3 linked regions of the Stegostoma tigrinum genome follow. The protein of the gene in region 2 interacts with the protein of the main gene of each other region in a pairwise test. Links are inferred from orthologs where the notes say so. Each region holds a gene or a part of one and is shown on either strand. Other genes may lie near its edges.

Region 1 (7,456 bases), on a different chromosome or scaffold from region 2:
TGGGAGGGGAATGGGGGGGCTGAAATTATGAATGAATCGAGCAGCAGCAACAGGCTGGCGCTGGAAAGGAATGGAGAAAACCACACGGGGGCAGACTTTCCAGTAAAAACACTGGGATCATTCAACTATTTTGACCATTTTCACAAGTGGAAGCGGATTCAACCTGAAGATTATAATCTCCGGCAACAAAAAGTAAACATTCATTTTTGCATGTAGGGATTACAATCATATGAAAAAAACATAGGCCTTTGTAAAAGTAATCCAGTTAGATAAGACTTAGATAAACTATAAAATAGAGGGATCTTACCTATTTCCATATATCCACCAAATACAAATCCATTTTATTACTGCCTTAGCCAAGTCTTTTCCAAGGTAAATCCAGATTCGAGCCTTATATCAGCCAAATGTATATTTAGAAGACGCGTCGTCGAACCGAAAACAAGACTGAACGGGAGGGCAACTTGTGAAGCTAAAAGGAGCAGGAGCCCACGCTGCACTGACCCCGAGATGCAGACGTGCCGCGGGGGCGGGGGGCGGGGATGGGTGGCGGTGCTGCCAACCACTCGCGGCGCACTCCACTCCGCGCTCTGGCCCCGTTCGCTGCAGCGTCCTTCGGGTGATTTCCTCAGCGGCGCTTCCCGCAGCACGCTGTCGGTGGGGGTTTGTCGCCAAGGCCGTCTCCTTGTTTGGCCACCAGTCAAGCTCTCCGCAAAGACTTTTATTTCTGCACCTTGGTTGCCACACACGGAAGGTGTCACCTGTAACGCACGGTCTCTGGGTGCATCGGTTTGCCCTGGTCCTGATTGCTGTAGGTGTTGAAAGAGTTTGAGCTCCCAACCTTGTGCCAAAACTCTGCTGCCTATGTATATGTGTGTGTGAATGACTATCAGTGAAGCTTTGCTCCTATGCACTGTTATTGTGGTAAGCTAAATCTCGGCACAATTCCTCTTTATAACAGCCGTAGCGGCGCCGTCCGCTTTCCAATTGTCCTCAGTGGCACTGGCGACCGCTCGTCCCGTCCCCTCCACCGCTAGCCCCGCACAAACACACACCATCATTGGTCGCCAGCTCGCATTCCACTGCGGCTCATTAGCCGCAAGGGCGCATTCCAACGCCGCCGATTGGTCCCCGTGTCCGGGGGTATGGGGGGGGTGAAACGAAGAGGATACGGCGCATCCGGTCAGCATTGATTGGCTGGGCCGAAGCCGGCCCCGGTTAGTGGGTTCTGATTGGATAAAGGTGTGAGGATCCCGCCTTCTTCCCCGCCCCTTTCCTTTGTTCCCAGGAAGCGGATTGGTCGGGCCTGGGGACTCTGGTTGCCGCTGAGAGCAGATAGGTGGGTAGTGTCCCGCTAATTGGATCGGAGGAAGCGGCGCATCCGACCAGAGACAATCGCTGTCGCGTTGGGTGCTTGTAATTCATTTCACTTAGATTTCCCCGTACAACCTCCCCTGCAATTTACCACGAATCATATAATGCATATGCCAGACTAAATTAGTTACGTTCTGTTTCATAGTAACGTTAAGCATTGAAGAAACTGTATTGAAACATTAAACGTAAACATTATTTCCTGTTAGAGTCGTGTATCAATTCTGCTGCAGTTCTCACCATATTCTTACTCAGCGAGATTTAAGAAAATACACATTTTGTATCTTGGCTGTCGAAGCACACAAAACATACTCTCGCACACACAAACACACACGCAGACCCCTATCCGTGTTCTACGAGCAAAATAAAATGTTCCTCATTGCTAAACGAGCCATTGGAGAAAAATCATCTGAGCCCCTCACGCTGCCTTGGGCCCTCGGCGGCTTTATTATTCATTTGTAAAATAAACCGCAGACCGGAATTCAGTGCAATTCTCCCTCTATCGCATCCTGCTGGTTCCCATTATACAGAGAAAGCTTTCAGATGAGAAAAACGAATGTGGTTTTCAAAAGAGGCAGAGGAAACATTCATCAAAAAAGAGACCCGCAACGACGAAATCTCGCTTTCAAAGGCCATTACTGAACACATACAAGTATTTTAGTTTTTTTTAACTATGTTTGGGCTTTTTTACTTACCAACAAAAAATAGAAACCGTGCATCGGAATATTGAAAGTCCAGGTACTAAGGAGCTGAACATTTCCAGCAGCTCCTACCCTTAGATAATGCTTTTGTGTTCAGATCACACTGGGGGGAAATCCCGACTTCCTAAACGCCTCTTTGTTGTAGCTCCAGTCATTTGAATGCACCAAAACAACTGTCTCCTGCCACCGTATTCATGCTGAGAATGTTAATGCCAATCCACGGAACTTTCTGAATGGGGCGGGGAACCTACACTAAATGTCTTCAGGAATAATTTATGAGGAATATTAAATGATTCCTGGTTGTAATCGTTAAGCGAATTTGAGCTGCAAAGTGGGACAGCCTGTTTGTTTATATAGAGAGATGCAGTGCGTGTGTTCGCCCGCGTATTTTAATGATACATTTAATAATCTGGCAGAACACATGAACCTCTTCCGTTCATCCTGAGTACAGTATATGCATTACGAAGTACAGGCGTTTCCTTTGTTGCTGTCCTGTCTCTTTGAATGTTCCTTTGGGGCGACCTGTGGCTCTTTGGCTGGTTTCATTTGCGCAGGAAATCGCTCATTCATTAACCCTCTGGCTTCCCTTTCATCTGAAGTCTGACTGATCATTAAACCGCCTTTCACACCGGAACGGCTGAAGACCCGTTTAAAGAAATTAAGGGATTTATCTGTTAGTCCATCAACCCTTCCAGACCAGTTATCAGGGAATTTCATTAGCCGAGATGTCAGACCCGGAGGCCAAGGAACTGACCAAATGGAGACTTCAAAGTGCTCTTAAAACGGCAACGCCAAGTTCTACAGAAACTGCAAAGGGAATTTAAAGAGACACCTACCCTGTTGGTGTGATCGAACATCAAGGTGTAGACCACATGTCCCATTCAACAACAAACCCCTGCCCGGCAAAAACACAAATCCAGTCCCAGAAACAACAACAAGAGATCAAGGGTCGATTTCATACAGTCTGACTTAACCAAAATGATCCATGTCAGAACTGACACAAACCCCTCCCTCCTTACATAATGGACATGCCAAAGCTGACAAGTAGCTATAATCTCTGCCTAATTCATGTTTTAAAAATGAATATTGCCTCTCTGAAACCAGTCTGACGAGAGGCATCAATATTGCATCCCCTATCCAGGTTTAACTACTTTTTTTCAATCGACTCATTGATATGTCCACCTTGTTAAAACACAAGGCTTGTCTTCCCACCGTCCATGGTGTAGAGAGACAAAGGCACACAAGGAGTAAATCAAGCTGGTTCATCTAGGTCCACAGACTCCCTACACTTCAATGGTGAGAGTATCTGGTAGCTGCGTTTTTTAGTACCTCCCCGCACACCAACCCAACCCCCCACCCCGCCTCCAAGGAGTAAACTCCTTGGCAGCCACTGGGTCAGCAGCGCGCTGAATTCGGAACATATCCAGTGCAGTGCATTTTAAAAGGACATTTCAACTGTAGAAAATAGATTGTCACCCACCACAAACCTATTTTATGATTACTGTTCCCCGTGCTGGGAAAATGATCTCCTCCATGGAGATAGGTGTGCGACCGGTGGGTGCGCGTGGGGTCTCAATGCTTAGTTAGTTGCCCTTGCCACCAGTAGGAGACACTTTCCGGGCGAATATTTACACATCCCCATTACCCCGAAATAACCAGTCAACAAACAAAACCGCCAGTGAACGGCCCGAACATTGGTTCTATGGGCGAAATCAGGCAAATAAACAGCAAATAACTGAGGCGCGATATCCAATCTGCGACCAATTGTTTAGTCTCTGTGCTATGCTCCGCTCTTCAAAAGCATGAGAGCTCTGCTTTGCGATTTTAATAGTGTATGTGGGGAGGTCTCGAGCTGCGTACTTATGCCAATTGCAAGGCCGGTGTAGCTGTCAGCATGGCTGATGTGCCATTACCTGTAACTGCTGCTGCTTTTCACAATGAGCGAAAGCTTGTTTTTACATTTATTTCCGAGTCCTCACCGTGCTCGCGGCTATCAATGAGGCAGCCTGCTCCCAACGCCTGGGAAGGGCAGACAAGGAGGGCGGATCAAGAAATGTTTCTCGCTCGAATGAGCTCGACAGATAGCATCCAAGGTTTACGGTACGAATGAGTCTGTGGTTTTGGTTTTCTGACATTGATGGACGCTGTTTATCTTTTCATATGGTAAATGTGTCAGTCAGAGTTTCGGCAGAACCAGTCAACCCAGTCTGCTGTATTACACATCGGGTCTGCTGCAAGTCACACTGTGTTATGGTAACAATTTACAAAAACTTTAACAACCAATATCAGAACGTTCTTGGGTAAATTATAGCACGTCATTCAATGCGCATTTTTTCCTCTTAATTCCGGAAAGCCGTTTTACTTTGAAACTTTTTTTTAGCAACGTTTAGACGGGAATTTAAAACAATTTTCAACATGGCACCATTTAGCTCAGTTATTGATACATACTAAACAGTGAAAGTATTTCACAATGTACAGTCGAAATGCAAACACCTTCCCAGCAGAAGTTAAGAATCATTTGAATAGGGAGTGTTTTTTTTACTTCCCTCATTGTGTTTTTTTAGGGGGGGTTGGCACATTTCAAGTAGAAAGACAGTCACAAATTGTAGAGAACCTCTGCCGTACCTCTCTTCCCTTGCATTCACGCTCGAACAAAAATGAATCCGTTTTGATGTGCAGTTTCCGCACATGGACGGTGCATTTATAACTGAATCTGAAACACGGCAATGGATCAAGTTTGACAATTTCCTTGAATGGAGTCGATTTCACCCAAATACTGATGATGACCTACACTGGCATTTTTTTTGCAGCAACGTTGCGGAAGTCAGTGGCTAAGGACACGCGGGAAGAAGACCAGTGCGCTGCATCGGTAATTACAAACTACAATCCCCGTGGTAAGCCTCAACTAATGCTGAAAAAACGGCGTTCGGTTCCAAGTAGTAAACGCCGCTGGACCTAGATCTATGAACAGAGAAACACAAGTTACAATTTCCAGTCATAGAAATGTACAGCAGGAACAGATGCTTCGGAGCAACTCCTCCATGCCGACCAGATATGCTAAACTAATCTAGACCCATTTGCCAGCATTTGACACATATTCCTCTAAACCTTTGCTATTCATGTACCCATCCAGATGCCTTCTAACTATTGTAATTGTACCAGCCTCCACCACATCCTCTGGCAACTCATTCCATACATGCACCACCCTCTGTGTGAAAATATTGCCCCTTAAGTACATTTTAAATCTTTCGCCTCACATCTTAAACTTATGTCTACTTTTGGACACCCCTGACCTGAGGAAAAGACCTTCACTAATCACCCTTTCCATGCCCTTCACTTTTTTATAATCCTTTATAAGCGTTAGAGTAAAGGGAAGACCCTTTAGAACGGAGATAAAGAGAAACTTCTCCAGCCAGAGAGTGCTGAATCTACAGAACTCACTGCTACAGAAGGCTGTGGAGGCCAAGTCAATGAGTGTATTTAATACAGAGATGGATAAGTTCTTGACTGTGAAGGGAATCAAGGGCTACGGGGAGAAAGCGGGAAAATGGGGTGGCGAAGCTGATCATCCATGATGGGCTGAATGGCCTAATTTCTGCTCCTGTGACTTATTGTCTTAGCCAGCATGACTTCTTCAGAAATGCAGTTTGCTGAAGATTGATATTGACTCCGAACCGTGAACTCTTATTTCTCTCCAAACGGATGCAGCCGTAGCTGCTAAGTTTCTCTAGTACATTGATTTTTTATTTTACTTTCAGATATCCAGCATTCCCAGTTTTTTTTTGCCTTTGTTTTAAGGTTGGCATCAGGTTCTGAAATCTGATGGCACTGAGAGCCCTCCCGGACTAAACAGTTCCTCGATAACACCATGGCTTCCGGAACACTTTTTTGTAGCGAATTGAGGTGGTTAACGTTTCTGGGAACTGCATCTCTGCGGTAACATAAAGGTAGATACCATTCCTCTTGGAGTCTGGTTGCAGTCTGATTTCAAACTACACATTACACGGGCTTCACACCATTTGGTGAGAAAAAGAGGACGACACTCCAACCCGTGGTGTCTATACAGGTTTTAAAATGCACTATCCATGGTTTATGTTTCTAAATTTACCCAAAGGCAAGGAAAATGAAACATTGCTCTGGCTATATTGTCACCAACATGTTTCTCAGCTGGACTGTGTCATACCCCTTATCAGTCAAAAAAGAAGTCAGTGCAGGTAAAGAAAACAAGTCAATAGGGTCCTGCTGAATGGCTTCTGAAGAGACTGATAGTCATTGGGCAGAACCACCACTCCATTGCCAGGTCTACCAAACGAGCACCACGTGATAAAAGGCAAATTTGCTGGAGTATAGTGCTGCTCTCTCATTCCAGAGGTGCAAATGCTGATGGTTTAACCTGAGGGTTACCATGCCTCAGGCGAGAGGAGGGATTGAGAAGGAGAGTCCTTCATAGTAACCTCACCCGGCGCTGGAATTGAACCCACTCTGTTGCCATCACACAGCAACCGTTCAGCCAACCGAGCTAATGCACCCCCCCCCCCCACCTACAAAGTGATACCTTGGCTGAGGGTGTCCTCCCCGTCAGATCTTTCCTGCCTAAACGGTATTACGGAGTCACCCCATGCTGTCCTGATAGTACCCTTCTGGCATTTATATTTGCAAAGTCTAGTGAGTAAGAGATGCAGGCCAGGCAGTATCAGAGGAGCCGAAAATTTGAGGTTTGGCGTCGGGACCCTCCTTCTGACCAGAAACGTCAACTTTCCTGTTCTTCTGATGCTGCTTGGCCTGCTGTGCCCCTCCAACTCCACGCTGTTCTATCTCTGACTCCAGCATCGGCAGTTCTTACTATCTCTGAGAAAAAGATGTAGTGTTTTGTTGGTAAGGTAATCCCAAATAACACTGTAAGACGGAGCTTCTGTTATTTAGGACCTTGAGTCAAGGGATAAACACTGAGGCATACACCAACTGCTGCTGGAAGACCTTGGATCAGGTGAAAAAAAAGTTGTACTGCCCAAAACTTACTGAACATTTCACGCAAGGAGATATCCTGAACCAGCAATGCAGTTTGCCACTTTCCCAACGTCCCTGGTCAGAAAGGGAGGTCTTGGGGATGGGATGCAATTATGCAGGAGAACAATGAGGGAAGCTGTTAAATCCAAAAGTGTAATCTAAATATATGGGTTAATTTCAGTGAGGGACCCTAGAGTGTCATATACTGTATTTTGCCACATTGAATGGGCATTACACCCAGTCTTCTGCGTTTTTAACGCCACGCAACGTTTTTAGTGTTTCATCCATTGCTAACTACGCGGGGAGCATTTCACAACAGCCCCAAGCAAAAATAAATGCACAGCAGTTACTTCTGGGGAACTTCTGCAAGAGTGTGGAGA
Region 2 (7,411 bases):
CAAATTTTGATTTTGTTCAATCTGTTTCCTTTAGTAAACGGAAAGTGATGCTGGAACCGCTGAGTAGCACGTAAGACAAAAAGTTGGAGGTTTCTTTGAAGCTCTTTTGCGTCGAATGTAATCTTCCAGGGGAAGACAACTCTACAGCAGACATCACCCTTGATATGGCCGACATGCCCTACAACACCATCGACTTTTGCTTATTGACACCAAACTGCATCTAATCATGTTTCTCAAGCAAATGCTAGCGACATTCTAGTCACGCGGCTTCAGCAATCTGTTCAATCAAAACAACTCGAGAATAGTTTAATTTGGAACCTTGCGTCGATAAACTTGTGTTTTCCATTTCTTATACTTCGTTTGCTAGAGTGTGACTGTGAATGCGGTGAATTCTTTGTTGCATTTTGAAGCAAGTCAAGTTGATGACAACCACTGTCATTGGAGAATGGCCTGTTTACATATATGTAAATAAGCCATTCAAGGTGAAAAGGTCAGTGTTTAGATGCACTCTAAGAAGCTTTTAACATTGCAAAAGCCACTTTAAAGACCCGCAGGTATTTCCTGTGAATAAAATAACTTGTCCTATTTGACTTCATGAACTGTTACCTATCAATAACCGAAATTAAATAAAACGCCAATTAATAAATGAAATAACTAAACGTGATGTTTAGCAGTGTCCGGGATCTGAAGGACGATTTTGAACATTGTTGATGGGGGTGCAAGTTCATGCCGAGGGTCAAGAAACTGTAACATGCTTAAGATAACTTAAATGCAACTGTAACATGATAGAGAAACGCAGCATTTTAATATAATTTATTATTTGGACCCGTAAATTCTGTCCTGGATTTCAGTCACAGAAAATCTCAGAACTGATTCAAATCACGTGCTGATTGTATAATACATCTAGTCACACAGAAGAACTGATAAAACTCAGTGATGGGTTAAGCACACACTGACAGCGTTGTATCATGCAAAATTCCGTACACAAATCACAAGGAAAACAATCATTTGGCCGTAACTTACATTGACAGGTAGCTTACGAAATTAAGTCCAACAAATATCGGAGTAAACATGATCATTTTGAGGTATTTTAACAAGGTGCTACTGCTGGTCTTCAGACAGCCCATGTACTTTGGGAGGGGAACACATTTAACATTGCTCAAATTTTACACAGCCCAGTGCAATGGTAATTTCTGTACATAAAGTCGTCCACAGTTTAAGGAGAGGTCCCCTATCTACTCAGCTCTGCTTTCTGCAAATACAAGAAACATTTCACGTATATTTGATTCGTTGATAACATTTTGCTTATAAAAACTCTACAGCTATGTCGCATAAGACACTGGCTTTCTTTTTTTTAGAAAATACTTGTAAAAAGATAAAACTCTTGACAAAATATATACAACCAGCGCAGCTTACAATATATATGCAACACATTAAATTAAAATAGGACAATTATACTATACAGTAGTTGGTTCTCAGTGTAAACACTTCTATAATAGTGCATCTCTGGTGCATTTAGAGATTGGCTGATTATTTTCCCCAAAGAAAATAAGTTGATTTGGGGTTGTTTCCCAGACATTTATGTCTCATTACATATTTCCCTCCTAACTTGAAACAACTATCAAATGAAAAGGTTTCCAGTTGTGGGGGCTGCTATGGAATCTTTCAGCCTGAAGTATGAATCGTTTCTGAGGTAGATGATGATGGGGAGGGTGTCGACGAGGTAGAGATCGATTTGTCTGAGGTGTCTTCTGTGTTTGCTTCACTCCCTGGAGTGGCCGGAGAAGCTGAGGCGAAGCCCTCCTTCTCCCGCTTTTTCTGCTTCATCCGCCGATTCTGGAACCAGATTTTTACCTGGGTTTCGTTGAGATGAAGGGCAGCCGCAATTTCCACACGTCTGGCCCGGGTCAAGTACTTGTTGAAATGAAACTCTTTCTCCAGCTCGGTTAGTTGCTTAGTGCTGAAATTAGTTCTCACTGTGTTGGGCTGACCAGCAAAACCATACTCCCCAGCCTTCCCTAAATCAGTGAATAGAAAGGAGCACATAACAGGTGAGTCAGGCAAGGAATCGTACAGGTAGGCTGTGACAATTGCTTGGGACAGCTAGATTCGGCTGACTGCATAGATAATCAATCATTCCCTTTTCAGTAGTTTGGGAATGTCTTGTCATGAAAAGCCGAAAAGCATTACACTACAACTGTTGCATGTCATCAGCTAGGTGGTGTTGAAAATATGCCTCACACAATGCTGATAAGACTGGAAAGGAAAGAATAGATGGGGGAAAAAAAGACAATGTAGACGAAAGATGCAGCCATTCGATCATCTTAAACAACATGCAACAGATCAAGATTTCTTTCAACTCGAGTCTGACACGCTTTCCCCCCCACCGCATCTGCTAGTATCGGCTTTCACCTGACAATGATTTACCTGTGGAAAGATATTGCACCTCGAAAATAGAATTTACCTGTTTTCGGAGGGTTCCTCTTCACCTTCATCCAGTCAAAGGTTTGTGCTGGGGGAGGGGTCTCAGCTGACGGGGAGCAGCAAGGTTCTTGATGGCTGCCGTGGGCGGGGGACGACGGGTGACAGCCTGTAGCTAGGGCTAAACTCGGCTGCTGCTGCTGCTCTTGCCCGTAAGGGTGATGGCAATATTGACTTGGCCCCACCATCCCACCATAGCCGTGCTGATGAGGGCTGATGGCCGAGCCAATGTTCCCAGGGTAGACAGCAGGAGCACACTGAGAGTACCCTCCGTTACCATCCGCCTCTTCATTCAATGAGTAGTGATGATGACTGTAGCCTGTGCTAAAGCTCTGGGCTGGGTATCCTGCCCCACAGTTGGGATGGGCACTGTAAGAGATACCCAGGTTGTTGTGATGTGTATAGCTAGGCTGGTGATGGTGACGAGGAGGAGGTGGAGCACCTATTTGGACACTTCTGGCCACGATGTAGCGTTCATCAGCGGTGCAGTTATTATTACTAACGGCACAGGACTGGTAAGTTGCAATTCCTGGATCTGCATGGTAACTTCTGGAAGAGCAGGCCCCAGTGTCTCCGTTAATGATGGAATAGTCTAGGAAGGTGTTCATCCTTGCATTGTCCATCTGTCACTGGGGTATAACCAGCATATAAAGTCCACCAGCCTGGATGGACGGTGCCAACTTGCCCACTTCCTCAATGGGGCTGAAAGAAACTGATATCAATATACAGGCAAGTGTCGCCACGTGACCAAACCCGCCCAATCGCCGGGCTGCCTGAGAAGTTTGCATGCTCTTGCTGCTGATCGATCACCGTTTTACTGGCATTGAAATTCCAAACGCTCTCCCATCAAGGTTACGCGCATTATTAGCCCGCGAATGCATTATACTTCAAAGCATGCCCAGCAGAATGCAGCAGGAATTTGTTCAAGATGCACGTACTGTTCCTTTCCGGACCTGCAGCGCCATTTAAGAGTTACCGCGAGTCTACCATGGGGAGTAATAGCGCGTTCCGCTCAGCGCAGCAGCTTCTGTCTCAGGTAGGTCGCTGGATAAATACCTAACAGCCAGACCCTGTAAGGGTAAGGGGAATGGCATCAGAGTGTTCCACTGTAAGGATGAAATCCGTGTCCCTCTGTGGTGTCTCAACTGCAGCATTGTGTGTCTGCGAGAGCGGTGATTTGTTTTTCATGCTGAGATAGGTTATACGTAGGTCGGGGGGAAGCTATGCAAAGCAGATCTGTTGGGTGTCAGATCATTTCGCGCACTTTAATGAAAGAAAATCCAGGTAGTTGCTGCAGAGCTGTGTTTCGTTCAGGCCTGCGCATATTGTGAACTGATTATACCCCAATCACTGCAGCGCAACTGTGAAGATTACCCTGAAAATAAAAGGATAAGATGATTGATTGGACGACGAGCTTTATGGCCCAGAGATTTGTATTTAAGCTATATGTGATCTGGTGCGCTGTTGTAAAAGGAGGCGCCTTGCCTTTACTGTGCATTAATGTCACAAGGAAACATGCAACAGCCTATCAAGGCCTGGCCTTTGCCAGTCCTCAAGTTTCTCGCTATTGGCATGGAAATGAGCAGGCTCTTCAATCGAACACAGGCTGGCGGGAGCATCCCCTCACTATAGGGTTACGGGCAGCCAAAGTGTCTTCGAGATCATATTGGCTCCCTGCCTATTTATTCTGGTTGAAGCGGGAATCAGACGGGTTGCTTTCCACACCGATATGAATAATAACAATCCCTGGCTGAGGCATAATGTAACCAAACGTGGTCGCTTGCAAGGCGCTGCCACCCATCTGTCAGCTTCCTGTAGAGACCTATCCGAGCAGTCAGGGCCGGTGGTGATTTCAGATCAATCTAATGCACATTACAGAGTGACGTTGGTCAGGGTTAGATACAGTAATTTACTCGGATTATTTAGTTACGACAAATGGTGGTTCCTAACCCTGCTGTAAAACTGTAAACCAGCACTGGGGAATGGCGATCACACGAGGAACAGGGAGATTATTTAGGCTTTTGGAAAGTTGACGCGTAATTAATTAATGTAAATGCCTCAAAAAAAGGGGGATTTATTTTAAGTATTGATCCACGTGCACTGGAAAAGGAGCTGAAAATTGCGATGTGTGGTCTGAATGTAAATTCTTTACTATATTGACTTCATGAAATTAGCAAAAAATAAATTACCTAAAAGTAAGTCTCAAGAAATGTATTTGTAAAAAAAATACTTCTGGCCAATGGCAATTCTATCAGCTGTATAAAATATTGCTCCCTGATCTATTGAATAATGCTCTGAAAAATTTCAGTTTTCAATCCCAAAGCAAAACAAAAAGAATTACACAGAACTGACTTGCAGCCCTCGAAGAGAAAGAAACCTTTGTTGTTGAGTGCGATAAAACGTCTCTTGTTTGTGTTCACAACGGTAATTTTACCGAAATATATCCGGACTTGATTTTTGGCCATACACGAAACTCAACAATAAATCAGCACATTCCTCCCACTGTCCGTATGTTCTCTAAGTTAAAACAAATGAACAAATTTACATTCAGCTCCGCCATCTTTACTTACTAGGTCTGAACACTCACTGTAGCGGAAAGTGCCAGCTCAAAAAAAAATCTGGATTGAATCGATTTCAACAACAACAAAAATTGCCTTTTCTGTTTTTCAGTTTTCTACAATAAAAAAAACGCCCTTCCGCCTCACCACCATCATCCCCTTCTCTTCTCAGTAGAAGGTTTCTATTGAGGGAGCTTTTCTAATTCTTCCCTGAGATGTCCGCCCCATCCCCCCGCACCCCGGTAAAACCAAGGCCTGGCTTGGAGCATTTTCGGGTAATCGCCGTCACCATGCGCCGTCCAGCGTGCCTGAAAGCCCTTGGTACTGAGGGACCGGGCGCGTCTCTTCCATTGTGCTTTCGGTTTAAGGACACGTCTCTTGTAGCAAATTGCCCATTATGTCGTGTGAGGACTTGTTTTAATCGCGACAAGTTATCGACAATGTGTCACTATTTGCCCGAGCGGTTTGTTTTTAATAAGGAAGTGTCGCCTTCCCTTTTCACAAGATTACAGCAGCCCGATAATTATATATATATATATAAAAACCTGGGCACAAAGCCAGTAAATTCAGTATGAAATTTAGAAAAGAATCTTTCCTATTATTTCTCTGTTTAATGATTAAACAATTAGAACTTCAGTCTATCGTTATAAATTCTCACGCAGGGAGACTAAATTCGAAGGAAGTATCAATAACAGCAGTGGAAAACGCCGTGCTCCTTATATAAAACAGTGAAAATGAATCACGACTCAACGCCTACAAGTTAGAAACTGACAGGGGTTCCCTGGTCCAGGCAAATACGTAAGATGTTTTTTTTGTATGTACTGCTGCGATTGATCCATTTGATGACATTCTCATTCATAAAAGAGCTTTGATTTATGAGTTTGGGAAGAATTACCTCCAGAGCTGTTCCTGTCACTGCTTACGCAAAAGCCCAACGTGCTTTTACAAATGGCAACACGAACACATTGTCCACCGCCACTAATAGTGAAAGTTCCTGATCAGTTGGAAGAAGCTTGCAACGCGTTCCTCGGCAGAGGGGGTGTAGGAGGAGTAGGATGATAGAAGAGGCATAAAAGCAAAAAACAACTGCCGCCTAAAAAGCCTAGCGCACAATGCGAATGCATTCCTACAGCTGTTATTTCATTTACACAATACAGCTGCAATAAGGAAGCACAAAATGCTTTATGTTTTTAAAAGATATGGTCCCAAGATTTACGATTTTGTCTTCTGGAGACTTTTATTTTAGGACGGAGGACTGTGACCGATTAGGCATTTGGGCTGAAATAGATGTTTTTTTAAAGCGCCTCACCGGCTTCCTCTCAGACCTCAGTAGCTTCTCCGTTTTTTGGAAAACAGGGTTGACTTGTATAAACCGGGTTTCGTTATTAAACGCTTCATTTCTGAAATAGTAAACTACTTAGTAAGGCTGGCGATCTTTAGGATCAGTTTATTTTGTACGTGGACGAGTTTTAATCTGACTTGCTGCAGTAAAACATGTGGAATTCTCTGTTGTTGATACTGACTGGCAGTAAGACAGATAAGGAATTGAGGAATCAGCAATAAAGATTAGATTCTGACATCAATAAACAGAGGTTTCTTTAATAGCAAGCACACGTGAAAATGAACACTCCTAAACTTTTCCCCTTCTTTCCTAGATTTTCTGAGTGCTGACAGATGTATCCATGGGGTGTGAACTTAAGAAGATTTTTCTTCGAAATGTGATTAATTCCTTTTTGCCTTTGTTTCGTTTATTCTGTTGAAGTGTTAATATTAAAATCCGGCGCCACATTTTTTGTATAACTTAATAAAGGCAATATTAATTGACTTTTCTTGAGCCTTGGTCTATACCACGGGCAATGTTAGTGGAAGTTTTAAAACACAACTTTCTTGTTGTTTTTGTGGAGTCATAAAATAAAGATCCTGGATTTTTTTATTTTTCTTCATCTTCTTCTTCAATAAATACTGTTATGAAAACGTAAATAACGACACTGACCAGACTGCTCAATTTTATTAATGCATTTATGTGAAAAAATGAAAGTTATTTATTAAGTGAAAATAGTCCTGAGAAAGAAAATGCTTCAGGATGGCTACCTGTAGCGTGTAAATGATATGCTCTATCAAATTATTTATGACAATGTACCTTCAAATAATACAAAAGGAAAAGAGGGTAAAGTAGATATCGGTAGATTTCTATGCGATAATTTTCGTCAGAGACGGATGTAGTGCTGATGACGGGTTATAAAACACGGGACATTAGTCCAAAGACAGTATCTAAATTTTGCAGTTATAGATGGTTTCGAACACATTCAAGTTGATTAAAAGGGAAAAGAAATACTGACCATTTGAAAGCAACTGAAGGAAAGGAAACGAAT
Region 3 (8,236 bases), about 19 Mb from region 2:
ATGATCTAACATACCAATACAGACCAAGATTTGGAGAGGTAGTCGGAACTGCCGATGCTGGAGAATCCAATGTAACAAGGTGTAGAGCTGGATGAACACAGCAGGCCAAGCAGCATCAGAGGAGCAGGAAAGCTAACATTTCGGGTCAAGACCCTTCTTCAGAAATGGGGGAGGGGGAGGGGATTCTGAATTAAAATAGGGAGAAAGGGGGAGGCGGATAGAAGATGGATAGAGGAGAAGATAGGTGGAGAGGAGACAGACAGGTCAAAGAGGTGGGGTTGGAGCCAGTAAAGGTGAGGTTAGGTGAGGAGTTAGGGAGGGGATAGGTCAGTTCAGGGAGGACGGACAGGTCAAGGAGGTGGGATGAGGTTGGTAGGTAGGACATGGGGGTAAGGCTTGACATGGGAGGAGTGGAGACATGGGAGGAAGGACAGGTTAGGGAGGCGGGGACGAGCTGGGCTGGTTTTGGGATGCGATTGGGGGAGGGGAGATTTTGAAGCTTGTCAAGATCACATTGATTGTTCTGACTGAACTACAACCCATCCCGCACCTGACAGCCGATTGGACAATTATAGTGGGTGAGGCAAAAGAAATAATTCATCAATGGACCTAACGCACTAAAATAATTAGAACTGATGCTGAAAAAGGAAAGTAGTTGCAGGACCCTAGGTTGTGGGATAGATTCTGGAATTGGGAACCAGTGTTCAAATACATCCATGAGTTAGAATTCTGTTGAATGCTGCTGTAGTAGCAATTCTATGTACATTAGTAATCGTCATAGTCAATGTATGTCCACCTTATAAGGTGAAAAAATGAAACTGTATGAAGATTAGAACACTGTGGATGTGGTACATCTGTTGGGGAATACTGATAGTCCGAGTTATGCTCCACAGAAAAGGGACAAAGAATGATCCCAAGATAAGTAGCTTTGGATCAAGAAAGGGGAGATGTTGGCCAGAGGCTGCAGAGGGCTAGAAAAAGAGAGAGAACAGTATAAACTGCCAGCATCGCTGCCTGGGGAAATGTTAGCCAGAAGTTGCAGAAAGATAAAGAGTGAGAAGGGTACCAGCTGCCAACATCGCTAAAAAGAGGTACTGAATGCAAAGGTGCTGGCATGAAGAAAGAAGCAGCTTGTGAACTAAAAATGGACTGCACCCAGGTGCTAGTTTGAGCCAATTTAAACTGATTTGAATTAACTAAGTTCTGCAAAAAGTAAGAAAGATGAGATAATGCAAAAGCCTTGTTTGGATGAGAAATGTTGAGATAATGCCACCTATATCTCTGGGCCAGTGCCAATAAGGTAGAGACATGTGATAAGTGAATTAGCCTGAGCCAATGGAAAGAAGACAGCATGACTTGACAGAGATAAGAGAAAAAACCTTGGGGCACACAGCCAGCAAAAACTCCAGAGGCAAACCATAGCAGAAGCAGATCCTACATCAAGGATGTGGTGATGACATCAAGTGCAGCACCTGGCCAGCCTCAGCCCTCGATAGGATATTGGCGTTTATATCCTGAGACTACTTAGAGAGTGTCAGAGGACTCCAGTGGGTGTATAAGTAGGTCCTAGTTCAGTTTGTGGGAAAATATATAAGATCCAGTTTTGAGATAAAACATTTAAGAAACATGTGCCTTGTTTAAATACACGAATAAAGTAATTTGTGAGGTTACCAGAATTGACTACTCTCTGTATAAGCTGATAACCGGAGTTGGTGTTTTCTGGGCTCTCGACAACAATGTATTTAAATACATAATTTCATAAGAAAGATCTTCAAGCGTTAAAGCTTTCATGCAGATGGAACTGATTTCCCTGTTCTTTCATTCTTTAAGTTTTTGCCCTCTGCCATAAAAGGTGCAACTTTGATTGCTTATTCATCCTTTGTGGCATAGTATTCTGTATTACAAGCCAGATAAGAAAATTTGTTGTCACCCTTCCACCATTCTCAGAGATTATGTAAAATTAACAACACCTCATTAATTACTGCCAAAACAATGGATTTATCCTTACTCGTGCACAAAATCTTCTTAATTTGAATATGTTTTATGAAATCTACTCTTAGCTTCCTCTGTCTGGGGAATATAATGCCACTGCCTGCTGTCTCATCAGAACTAACTTTTCATTTTATCCTGATGGTATAATGCTGTGGACTGAAATGCAACCTTGTGCCAATAGCCACAGAATGATGCTAACTAAGATTCAAACCAGGCCAATGGGACTATTGCACCAGACAGACCTCAGTCTCTAAAAGACTCAAGTCCCAGACAAATCCCAATCCTTGCCAGACTCCAGTTTCATACAAATCCAAGTACTAGACAGACCCTGACCCCAGATAAAACTATTTCTAGTCAGATCCCAACCCCTGGCCAGATCCCAATTCCAGTAAAATCAAAGTACCAAACAAATGTAAATACCAGATGGGACAAGTTCCCAGATAAACTTTAATCCAACACATACATCAATCGCAGAGGCACTCTGATCTTAGCCAAATCATGGTCCCAAACATATCCCAATTCCAGGCACACCTTAATGCCAGACAGACCCCAATCTTAGACATATCCAATTTCCAGGCAGATCCCAATCCTATAGACAATCCAATCCCAGATAGACGTTAATCCCTGGCAGACACCAATCCTGAAGACATCCTAATCCCAGACAGACACTCCAACCCAGAGACACCCAGTCCCAGGCAGACCCTAATCCTGATCCCAGAGAGACCCCAATCCAGAGACACCCCATTCCCAAACAGACCTTAATCCCAAACAGACCCTGAACCCAATCCCAGAGAGACCCCAATTCAGAGACACGCCATTCCCAAACAGACCTTAATCCCAGACAGAGCCTACTACCAGGCAAACTCCAATCCCAGACAGAGTTTAATTCCAGGCAGACCTCAATCTCAGAGAAACCTCAATACCGGACATTCTCTTATGCAAAGGCAGACTGCAGTCCCAAACAGACAGATTCTGGGCAGATACAGCAAGACCTCCGGAACATGTTTGCTTCACGGGTGGCTGGACCTTGGCTCCACAGGATGAACCCGTGTAAACAGCAGCGTCCTCCCAGTGATTTCACCCCCGTGTCACGGCGCGGAGCTGGGCTCTGGGCGTGGTGAGTGTGGGCCGCTCTCTCCGTCTTTGCTCAGGCCAGGACTGGACACAACTCGGGGTCCGGTCCACACACACATATAAGCGGATGGAGCCGTGCCAAGCGGTTTCTAACCTCCGATATTCGACATAAGAATCGACAGCGGCCGCCGCCTCCTCGTTCAAACTGATCCGCTCCATCCGCCTGTTGCTGAGCAACGGATCACCCAGCAACCAGAAGGACACGAGGGTGAAGAGGGTACACACGGTGAACACAGACAATGCACTGAAGATACTATTACAGAGTACATCGTGAACTGAGTATACGATTAATATACTAAGTGCTACACGGAGCACGAAATTTAATACAATGTATAAATATTCACAGTATGTGACATAAGCAATACGCACAATTTACAACAAACGCAGTGAATACAACACTGACCCGAATGCAATATATTCGTAGTATTCACAAAGTTCATAGTAAATGTACTGTGCAGAATGTGGAGTAAATTTAATACAATTTACACAGTGTAGTTAATCTAATATACACTAAGTAGTAAATACAGTGCATGGTAAACGCAAGTAAGTATTATACATCTTGTAGGCGCCCCTTCAATGCACGAGATAGTAGGAACTGCAGATGCTGGAGAATCTGAGATAACAAGGTGTAGAGCTGGATGAACACAGCAGGCCACGCAGCATCAGGGGAGCAGGAAAGCTGACGTTTCGGGCCGAGACCCTTCGTCCAGCTCCACACCCTGTTACCTTCAATGCACGATGCGTACACTATAGCTCGACGAGTTGTGTCAATATACAATATGAATCGTACAATTGGAGCGAGGCAATTTTCTTAGGTATACTAGAGAACTATGCTATCAAAAAGGAAAAATATGCGGGTGCTGAAAATCTGGGCAGTGGTTCATAACTCGTGCTAGACTCCAAACGTTAGGTGTTTCTCTATACAAGATGCCAGATCTGCTGAGGTTTTCCAGCGTTTTCTGTTACAGCCATACTGTTCTCACTGTTGCAAACGGCAGGACAGGGAGTACTAATACCGCTTGTACACCGTCTTCTGTCCAACCATTCTCTCCCAAACCCCACTGCGGTCCTCTCCCTCCCCAATACTTTTTTTGCTCTCCCTCTCTCTTCGCGGGCCAAGTGTTCTTGCACTGTCTGAAGCCTTGTTTTGTTTAAAGAACTAATTTTATTCAGATTAATGTAACTCACTAACTTCTTCACATTCAAAATCATTTACATCATATCACTCCTGCCCCCAATGTTGTATCAAAATTGATAAGGAGGAGGCATTGGAGAGGCCATGGGTACTTAAATTTGACAAGTCATCAGGATTAGATGAACTGGACAGAAGCTAAACAATTAGCAAATTGTCAGTTTAACTTCTGTGGTTTGAAGGCTGCTAAAAACTATTTGGGATAGTAATCAGATGTGGTAATGTGGTTTGTTTATGAAGAGCCAGCATAGATTTCTAAAGGAAATTGTTTTCAAATAACTTGCTGGGGTGTCTTGAAATGGCAACGGAAATGGTCAATGTGGTAATGATGTTCATATGATGTATTTGTGTCCACCATCTACAAGACACAAGTCACAAGTGTGATGGAATACCCCCCACTTGCCTGGATGAGTGAAACCCCAACATTCAAGAAGCTTGTCACCAACCAGGACAAAGCAGCCCACCTGATTGGCACTGCATTCACAAGCATCCGCTCCCTCCGCCATCGATGCTCAGGAGCAGCAGTGTGTATATCTGCAAGATGCACTGCAAAAGTTCATCAAAGATCCTCAGACAGCACCATCCAAACCCATGAACACTTCTACTTAGAAGGACAAGGACAGCAGATATATGGGAACACTACCACTTTCAAGTTCCCCTCCAAGTCACTCACCATTCTGACTTGGAGATATATTGCCATTCTTTCACTGTAGCTGGGTCAAAATCTTGGAATTCCCTACCTAATGGCATTGTGGGTCAATCCACAGCAGGTGGATTACAGAGGTTCAATAATGCAACAAGGGACAGGCAATAAATGCTGGCCAGCCAGCAATGCCCACATCGGGCAAAATGAATAAACAAAAAAAATGTAGATTTTCAAAAGGCAATCAATACTGCGCCACACAACCTTGTGATGATAGTTATAGTTCATGGAATAAAATAGACAATAGCAATGTGGTCACAAGATTGACTGAGTGATGGGAAACGGAGAGTAGTGGTCAATGGAAATTTTTCTGGCTGGAGGAAGGTTTGTAGTAGAGTTCCACATGGACCATCAATTCAAGGACTTTGACTTTTCTTGATATACAATAATGATCCATATATTTGTATACAGGAGATAATTTCAATGGATGGAAACTTGGAAGTATTGTATACACTGAGGAGGACAGTGTGGAGGTCCTAAAGGGCTGTCCTTCAATAGCTCAGCTGGTGGAGCGCAGGATTGTATTTGTCTCAAAACAGTCATCCTCAGTTGGTTCAGCTCTGGCTCAAAGGTGTCAGAATGTTTTGAGAGCTTTACTCTGTATCTAACCAGTGCTGTATCTATCCTTGGACAGGGGATGGGGACTATGTAGAGGAAACTGTTTTTTTACCCTGGAAGAGCACAGAAAGCTTTACTTTCCGTTTTAAAAGAATAGACAGTGCTTTACTCTGTATTTTTATTCCATATTGTAACCACCCTGGTAGAGTTTAATAGGATAATAAAATGTGAGGCTGGATGAACACAGCAGGCCAAGCAGCATCTCAGGAGCACAAAAGCTGACGTTTCGGGCCTAGATCCTTCATCAGAGAGGTTAATAGGGATTAATAGAGTTTAATAGGGATAGTTTTGGGCTGCTTTACTTCCAGATTACTTTCAGTTTAAAAGAATACAGGAAACTTTACTCTGTATTCAACCCAGTGCTGTTCCCGTCCCTGGAGGAATTGGTGGGAACAGTGGTGACAGACATTTATTTTCTGTTTACTTTTAGTTCAAAACAGTAGTGGAAGCTTTGCTGTGTATCTAACCCCATGTTGTCCTTGTCCCAGCAGTTCAAGGGAGCTTTCAGTTTAAAGGAGTAAGGGCATTTTTAATTTCAGGTTAAAAGAGTATAAGGGGTCTTAATCTCTATGTGATGCTGTAGTGTATCTGTCCTGAGTTTGTTTGATAGGGGCAGTGGTGAATGAGTTTGCCTTTCAGTTTACTTTATGTTTCAAAAGAATAGGGAGGGCTATACTCTGTATCTAAACTAATGCTGCTCCTGTCCTGGGAGAGTTTGATGGGGATAGTGCAGTGGGTGTTCTACTCTGTATCTGACCCCATGCTGTTCCTACCCTGGGAGTGTTTTTTGATGAAGACAATGTCAAGAGAGCTTTACTTTCAATTTAACAGCACAGGGAGTTTCACTCTGTATCTAACCCCATGCTGTACCTGTCCTGAGAGTGTTTGATGGGGACAGCTAGAATAAGCTTACTGTGTATACTCTGTATCTAACCAATGCTGTACATGTCCTGGGATTGTTTCATTAGAGCAGTATTGAGGGTGCTTTACTCTCAGCTTATTTTCTGTTTAAAAAAGCAGAGGTCAAAAGGATATAGACAAGTTGATGGAGTGGTCAGATAGGTGGCATATGAAGGTCAATGTGAAGAGTGCAAAGTGATGTATTTTGGTAGGAAGAACATGGACAGACAATATAAAATAAGGAGCACAATATTTAAGGGAGTTCAAAGTAGAGGTCTTTGGTGTGTGTGTGTGTATATATAGATCAGTAAAGGTTCCTAGACAGGTGGAGTCATTAATAAGCATACAGTATCCTGAACTTTAATAATCAGAGCATAGAGTACAAGAACAGGGACATTATACTGAATTTATACAAAACACTGGTTCAACCTCAGCCAGAGTATTGTGTGCAATTCTGGGTGTTTTTAGGAATGTGAATGTGTTGGAGAGAGCATACAAAAGATTTACAAAAAAAAAGTTCCAGAGATGAGAAAGTGGAGATTTGGATTGTTCTCTTTGGAGAGAACATAGAACATAGAACATGACAGCACAGTACAGGCCCTTCGGCCCTCGATGTTGTGCCGACCTGTCATACCGATCTTAAGCCCATCTAACCTACACTATTCCATGTACGTCCATATGCTTTTCCAATGACGACTTAAATGTACCTAAAGTTGGCGAATCTACTACCGTTGCAGGCAAAGCGTTCCATTCCCTTACTACTCTGAGTAAAGAAACTACCTCTGACATCTGTCCCATATCTTTCACCCCTCAATTTAAAGCTGTGCCCCCTCATGCTCACCGTCACCTAGGCCCAGAGAATTTATGTTTTCAGAATCATGAAGAGTCTGAAGAGAGTAGATGGGGAGAAACAGTCCCCATTCCTGGAATGAGTGGGCATTGATTTAAAGTGATTTGCAAATGTAACATATGTGATGTGAGAAAAAGTATTTTTTTCCAAACAAATGGTTTTACGTCTAGAATGCATTGCCTGGAACGGTGATGGGGGCAGAATCAACTGATATATTTAAATGGAAACAACATATAAGGTTATGGGGGAAAGACAGGAGAATAGCACTCATTCATAGAGCTGGTACCGGCGAAATGGCTCCTTCCTTTATTGGAATAATTCCGTTTCTACAAATTCCTGCCCCGCCCTGAGGTTGAAACAGCCAGTCAGGCCGTACATGCGCAGTACGCGAGAATAGGGGCTGCTGGGATGGATGTGAGAACTCGGAGGCCAGCGGGTGAGTGAGGGTGGGCCTACTGGAATGGTGTCACAACGGGTTAGGGGCGGCAGAGGACAACCACTGCCCGGGTCTTTACGTGTTCGCGGGGTTTCCTGACCCAGTTGGGGTCGATAGTGATGGCCCAGTGAGATAGTGGTGCTTCAGTCAACTGAGCTATTACTGAAGTCTGGCTCCCTGGAATAGAGGACTGGGCCTCCCAGTGGTTTTAGAACATACACGCATGAGGAGTCAGTGAGCTGTTTGATTTTGGCAAAATAGAACATGCCGATCTCTGATTCCCCACAGGAATCTTTTGTGGGAAACTGTCTTAATGCCTTGTCCGTCATCTTTGATCATTCTTCCCCACTTGCACTTACTTGCCCCTCATTTCCGGTTGCGACATTGCCAAAAGTTAGTGGTGTCGGCGTA

Evidence for each region.
Region 1: the proteins of hoxa1a (region 2) and spry1 interact in binary tests that used the Homo sapiens proteins (3 or more experiments, as listed by UniProt). The two-hybrid records come from large-scale screens. The link is inferred for Stegostoma tigrinum from reciprocal best matches to the Homo sapiens genes HOXA1 and SPRY1.
Region 3: the proteins of hoxa1a (region 2) and fam221a interact in binary tests that used the Homo sapiens proteins (3 or more experiments, as listed by UniProt). The link is inferred for Stegostoma tigrinum from reciprocal best matches to the Homo sapiens genes HOXA1 and FAM221A.

The regions. Positions count from the first base shown.
Region 1 is NC_081354.1:34,544,822-34,552,277, forward strand, and holds the start of spry1 (protein sprouty homolog 1), read right to left. Parts: upstream 3,348-7,456; 5' UTR 2,906-3,347; intron 2,867-2,905; exon of another isoform or gene 2,064-2,866; intron 1,084-2,063; exon of another isoform or gene 308-1,083; intron 82-307; exon of another isoform or gene 1-81. UniProt on the Homo sapiens protein: Inhibits fibroblast growth factor (FGF)-induced retinal lens fiber differentiation, probably by inhibiting FGF-mediated phosphorylation of ERK1/2. Inhibits TGFB-induced epithelial-to-mesenchymal transition in lens epithelial cells.
Region 2 is NC_081355.1:57,632,674-57,640,084, forward strand, and holds hoxa1a (homeobox protein Hox-A1a), read right to left. Parts: upstream 3,157-7,411; 5' UTR 3,105-3,156; coding exon 2,465-3,104; intron 2,019-2,464; coding exon 1,666-2,018; 3' UTR 797-1,665; downstream 1-796. UniProt on the Homo sapiens protein: Sequence-specific transcription factor. Regulates multiple developmental processes including brainstem, inner and outer ear, abducens nerve and cardiovascular development and morphogenesis as well as cognition and behavior.
Region 3 is NC_081355.1:76,557,085-76,565,320, reverse strand, and holds the start of fam221a (protein FAM221A), read right to left. Parts: upstream 3,348-8,236; 5' UTR 3,286-3,347; coding exon 3,221-3,285; intron 2,948-3,220; exon of another isoform or gene 2,923-2,947; coding exon of another isoform or gene 2,891-2,922; intron 1-2,890.